Linked DNA regions of Bombyx mori. The protein of the gene in region 1 purifies or fractionates together with the protein of each later gene. This does not show direct contact. Links are inferred from orthologs where the notes say so. Each region holds a gene or a part of one and is shown on either strand. Other genes may lie near its edges.

Evidence for each region.
Region 2: the proteins of NADH dehydrogenase (region 1) and LYR motif-containing protein 2 purify together in Homo sapiens (affinity purification with mass spectrometry; 3 studies listed by BioGRID and IntAct, counting the BioPlex papers as one, with this or other methods). This does not show direct contact. The link is inferred for Bombyx mori from reciprocal best matches to the Homo sapiens genes NDUFAB1 and LYRM2.

Annotation. Positions count from the first base shown.
Region 1 is NC_085114.1:14,895,673-14,898,952, forward strand, and holds NADH dehydrogenase, read right to left. Parts: upstream 1,787-3,280; 5' UTR 1,735-1,786; coding exon 1,567-1,734; intron 1,383-1,566; coding exon 1,269-1,382; intron 1,234-1,268; coding exon of another isoform or gene 1,120-1,233; intron 1,017-1,119; coding exon 837-1,016; 3' UTR 555-836; downstream 1-554. Other genes in the region: protein HID1, read left to right, coding at 2,708-2,773, 2,849-3,062. UniProt on the Homo sapiens protein: Carrier of the growing fatty acid chain in fatty acid biosynthesis.
Region 2 is NC_085129.1:2,304,073-2,307,360, reverse strand, and holds LYR motif-containing protein 2, read right to left. Parts: upstream 1,992-3,288; 5' UTR 1,861-1,991; coding exon 1,819-1,860; intron 1,617-1,818; exon of another isoform or gene 1,585-1,616; coding exon 1,363-1,584; 3' UTR 803-1,362; downstream 1-802. UniProt on the Homo sapiens protein: Involved in efficient integration of the N-module into mitochondrial respiratory chain complex I.

The DNA.
Region 1 (3,280 bases):
ACACCACTGCTCATCTACTCTGCAGGGCACAGAATCTATATGAAATTGTCATTTATAAGATAGTATAAAACTAATTAAGATTTGGTATTTTAATGAAAATTTTGTCTTTCAAGAGTACTAGCATGCTTAAGTTTATTGTTTGAGTGACTTCCTGAGTTCACCTGGCTTTTCTGGAAAAACAGGATCACTGCTCCAGGCATGTTAGCAATTGCCAATATTCTGGCAAGAGGAAGGCAATGTTATCAAGTATGCACTGCTGTCCTTCATGTCATGTCCCATCATAATCACCCAACATCTTTCTTCAAACAAGGTTTGAAATAAGTTCTTATTTAGTAGCTTTATGTGTGTCATTGTCAAGATCCATTAGTAATGGTAGCCACTTACCATCATATAGGACATAGCCCACCTTGAAATACAAAATACTCCAGCAGTTTTGAAAATCAATAAAAATTAATGACAAATAATAGTACAGATTTAAGGCATTTTCTCTTTTAAAAAAAAGGGACTCTCGAGTCAAATGCTTATTTAGCATGAATTATGAATGAAATAAAATGTGATCTATTTACTATTTTATTATCAGATAATGTACCACCAGATCAAATGAAATACAAATGATCTATTCTAACAGGCATATAATTAAAAACAAAACTTACACTTTTTACACAATGGTCTGAAGTGCACTGATAACGTTTGTGTAAAATTAAAACAAAAGTTGTCTAATCACTAAACAATACTTTTAGGCCAGTTGTAAATTAAGAAAATGCAATTTTGTGTTTGGTTTGTTATCGTTTCAAAAATACAACTGGTCCAAAATTATGAAGTTTATATTTTTTTTATTATTCATAAATATCTTCCTTGTCAGCAATGTATTGGACAATGTCTTTTGGTCTGACCAGTCTCTCTGCATCACCATCCGGTATCTCAAATCCAAATTCATCTTCCATTGCCATTATGACCTCAACATGGTCCAGTGAGTCAAGACCCAGATCATTCATGAAGTGGCTATCTACAGTCAACTGAAAAATAAGAGAAAAATTATTTTATATTTCTTTATCTTAGAATAAAACTTTATGCCCCACCAGTTTTGCACTGACTGTAATAAAATTTCCACAATCTAACCTGTTCAGGGTTAATTTTGTCATAAAGTTGAAGTACAAGCAGTACTCTACTTTTTATAAGGTCTAAGGTGAGGGGAGGGCCACCGCTGTACTTGCGGATACCATGTTTCTCGTTCTGAAACAAAATATTTCTAAATGAATATTATGTACCTGACTAGCACTGAGTTTGTCGTAAGCCTTGCACACTTTCAGGACTCGCTCCTCGATTTCCTGAACCGAAAGCTTAGACTGCACGCCTGTCGAGTACCGATGTGATTGTGGTACCTAAACAGTTCGAGTTATCACTGTAATTTTGTTATGCAATAATAATTGAGGTTATATTGATTTTGTTTAAAACAGACTCGAGAAATTTATAATAATATAATGTTAAGGAAATATTTCATTGTAATATAATGATCACTATACGGCCCAAAATGCATTTTATTATATCAGTAGATAAGAGTCTTACCCCATTCTGAAGGGCCTGACTTTTGTATATTTTGACAGCGGCTTTAATTGTGCTGAACTTTTGCTGCAACGCAACGGTCGAAAGACGACATGTTACGGACGTTCTATACGTTGTTGATCTCCGTAATAGACCACCGAAAGCACTTCGGAAAATATTCGCAGCAGCCATTTCTTCAAGCTCACGAAATGCTTTATTTTCTTTCAGCAATTCTCTCTCATCGAATCCGAAAGCCTGGGTTGCCAAAACCTTTAATACAACTGCAATCGATAAACTGTGTCAGCTGTCACGTATAGGTACATAAAGAGCCAAAACATTTAGCTCAGACAGGTATTTATTTTTTTCAAAACAGAGTTAATTTAATTTATTGAAGTCGTCTTGGCCTAAGGTATAAGATGCCCGCGATGCATTCAAATGCCGCAGGTAGGTACCAGTTTTTCCAACGAAATATTTACTAAACAGTTAATTATTTACGATTGACTTCTACGGTGAAGGAATAACATCGTGTAATAAGAATCAAACCCGCATTTATAATTTGCGTAATTACTGGTGGTAGGACGCCTTGTGAGTCCTCACGGGTTGATACCACCACCCTACCTCTTTCTGCCATTAAGCAGTAGGTGTCATGATCAATCGATTCCGACCGAAAAATGGATTTGTCCTACTATCCCTACTATATAGGATGTCCCTACTATATAGGTATATGTAAAGGCGTTAGAACCAGCTAGGTACATATATTAATCAATTCATTCAACTCATTTCAAACAATGAAAGACATAAATGGATCCACATTACTTGGTGTTTGATGCTCAAAAACCTAAAAGAAATTTCGAACTTATTATGAAGACTGCTACTAAATTTTACATTTTCTTAAATTTTATCGACAATTTCATAAAATAATGTAATGATGTCATTTTTGATTACTGTTGATGGCTAGTTAATGTATTGACAAAATGAACGTGTAGATTCCATAGACCTATATAGTAGTAGATTCTAACTTAATTCATAGATAAGTCATTGAATATATAAGTCATAGATCTAAGTAAATACTCTGTGCCAAAAGTGACGTTTTTTAATTTATTGTTTTGTGTGAACGTATGTTGATATGAAGTTATTGTTTTCAAATTAAATAATAAAAGACAAGATGGGTAATGCTGACACAAAATTAAACTTTCGAAAGGCGGTTGTCCAGTTAACTTCAAAGTCGCAGGTAATTGAGCACCAATTCGAAGAAAAATAATGAAATAAAAATCAGTCTAGTTTCATCGATTTATGTATTTTGCAGCCTATAGATGCGTTGGACGATAGCTTCTGGGATCAGTTCTGGTCAGAGAGCGTAACCAACGTACAAGATGTATTCGCATTGGTTCCCGGTGCGGAGATACGTGCCTTGCGCGAGGAATCTCCTAATAATTTAGCAACGCTGGTTTACAAGGCTGTGGAAAAACTCGTCAAGGTCGTGGACAGCAGCTGTAGGACGCAGAGAGAACAGCTGATCGGTGAGAAATTTACTGAACACCTTTTTTGCCCAAAAAAGTATCACAATTGTTTCGTCCACTCTCAGGTCTACATCATCAAAATGCAGCTGAAAACAATATTTCTGTCTCAAGTTCTTTCTCAAAATAACAATTAAAAAATACTATAAAAATTTTGACCAAGACCATACCATACAGATTAGTAATACAATAGTTTGTAAAGAAAAAATCACTTTTTCTTT
Region 2 (3,288 bases), on another chromosome or scaffold:
TAATGTATTGTGAACTAAATTACATTATATGGTCATACTTTTTAACCTTACTATCACTCAATGTTCTGTGAAAGAGCTTTACAGAGAAACGTGTAAGACTTTGATGGCCAGGTGAATTTTTAAATTAGATATAATCTGTACTGATATATATCTCTATTATATCTGTATAATCTGAACTGTACACTCTGATGTCATACGACAACAAAACTGGCTATGGCGTTGGTTATCTCCGACATGAGTTATTGTGTCAGAGACAACCGTTTCATTAAGTATTTTTAAAGTACAGTAAGATTTGTATTTTGAGTTACACATATAATAGCAGATGCACAGGATGACATATTTTGTGTGACTCAAAAAACCTGCCTTTGATTGTGTTCACATTGACTACTAATACTGTTTCATGAAACAACTAAATTAATGACAACCTCCTCCAGGCATGTTGACAATTGTCATTACTGCACCCTCTTTAAACCAGAATAAATTACTGCTCTGCAGCAAAAATAGGCAGGGCAGTGGTACCTTCTCATGTAGTCTTACAAGACGGCATCTTGTAATATAAATTATGCATATTATAATCTTTGTGGATTTAACTATATTTAATTGAAGTTATTCCTTTACTGAATTCATTGAGAAATGAAGGTGTGTTAACTATGTGTGTACTAGTAAAATTAGTACTTGTGAGATTTGAGACTCAATACAGTTGCATAACTTGATATGAGTTCACCAGGCATCTCATTCTTTAGGTCATAGCGACTAATATAATATTTTTATTATAATTTCTACTGAAAAAGAAAATCATTAATTGGTTATTGTAAAATTTCATATATTAAATTTATTATTTAAACATTTCCATACTATTTATTATCTATATACATAATCGTCTTGTTAGATCTAGTCTAAATTAATGAAATGTTTCTGTTAGTGTTATACAGTACTGTGATAGTTTATAATTTTTATATGTTTCTGAATGGTATTATCGATTTAATATCACTATAATATAATGGTAGCATTTGTGTCATTACTTTGTTTGCACTTTTATTTAGTCCAGTTTTTTAACTTTCTTTAGGGTGAAGAGTGTGTATTTAGAACTGACATGTATTACTTATTGTTTTTGATGTTATGATGACTGCCTTTTTTTTCTAAATGAATATTTAAGATTACAAATTAACTACTCACTTCCATTAAACACTTGTTTGACCACTACGATGAACTAAATGGATTTAAATATAAAAAAGTAACTTAACCCATATGACCACAATTGAAATATCACTACTTGTTATAATGTAAAACTACAGAAAATCTACAAACAGCCTATCTTAAATGATGATATATATTTTGATTTATTGAATTGTGTAGTTTATATTAGCTTTTACTTAAAGCAAGTGTATGTTGCAAATCCTTTAGTGTTTTTTTTCCATAGTGCAACATGATTTTGATTGTAGTTTCATCTGTATGATGTTTATTGTTCTTGAAGTCAGATTGAGCCCATTGCTTAAGTTCGATTCTGGTCAGTTCATCGGGCACGAGTCGTATCGTACGGAATATGTCTCTATATAATTTTAATACTTCTTGACGCAGAAGAAACTGCAAAAGGAATAAATATTATGAATGAAGAAGATTATATTTTTTTTAGTTTGTTCTTGTCGTTTTTCGTCAATTAATTCTTCCAGTTATTAATTAGTTTTATTTTTCATTAGGGTGGTCGAGCTCATAGCACACCTGACGCTCAGCGATAGATCACAATTTTGTAGTCTCAATGATTTTTAACAGTCGACTATTACAGTCACGAATTGCACTATTGCAAAACTAAATATCCACCTGTTTTAAATTCAAAGTTGCTTTTGGCAATTTCGTAGACATTTTAGTATAGCGTTTTATGTAAGTTCATCATTTTTAAAGTTTAAAATTTAAATTTTCTTCCGAACTTTACATATCAATATCTATTTGGTAAAATTTGGTTACATATTTTGCTTTTGACGTTGTTTTAATTTGATTAATCCAGTCAGTAGGCAAAGGAATCATCGTTCAGACATCCAACTTTTATAATAAAGACTTTTTAGATATTAAATTAAATAAAATGAGACAAAACAACACGGTGTTGAATAATAAGAAATAAAGATCGGTTAGGTATATTTTACCGCGCCTGTCCACTCCCACAGAAGATAAATGATTAATATGGCAACATTATTGCACCTGCAAAATTTAAATACGAAGACCCCTAAATTGTCCAAAACTTACAAAATTAAATTAAATGATCTCAGTACTTTTTATTGTCTTAGATTGATGAACGAAATCAGCCTTGTTCGTATTATTACCGGAGCTGATTAGTTAATACTACCACTGCCTTGTGAGACTGGATCGAAATGTATATTAATGTTGTTGTGGCGATAGCCATCATAGAACACAGGATATTTAATGATCGATGGCCGAGTCTCGCTGTTGGAGTTTGAATATGTAAGTATTGGCAGGCAACACTTGTCCCATGTGAAGTAACAGTTTTCGAATATTGGAATGTTTAAAACAGATGATTATCTTCTCTTCAGTGAGGACAATGACTTCTCATCTAGACACGGACAGTGCAATATCAAGGGTTTGTAAAAATAAAATGTAATGGTGTAATAGTGTAAAAAGTATTTGCAATATAATTGTATTAACCATGAAGCAGAGTGTTTTTTAAATAGCGCCTCACCTACAGAACCCAGTCCCTTCAAATTTAACGCCTACGAAATGTTCAAGATAAGCTTTGCAGCTTTATAAAAATTCCGAGCAGCAACATTAAGACCGTCAGTCTATAGAGCAATACCACCCGTTTCGTGGAAGATTTTCGCTTTGTCTATAAAACCTTCGAAAGTGTTGTATAGTGAATGTAACAAACTTTCGGAACGACTTATAGCTTCGTTGCTGATTTTTCACGGAGGTTACTGGTATCAACTCGAATCAAATAAATACAAATACGTTCCACCACTAAATGTCAATCGCAGTACGCTGGAATAATACATTTCGGGAACGATTCGCTTTCAGCTCGGATGGTGATCTGTGTGCTTAGTGCGAGTTTCTTAACATTCTCGATAACGTTAAAGTTAACCCTATTTTGCAGTTGCAATAGCACCCCTAGCGGCAAACGTACGCAAACGATCCCATTCCATACAAATATTTGCTAACTTTTACGTTATTGAGAACGTTATAAAACTCACACTAAGCACACTGATTGATGTTACTCAATTCTTCTATCAACAGAGTTTTTTTTTAATATTGAAGGATTACTGGTGGCCCGTAGGCCTTTCCAGT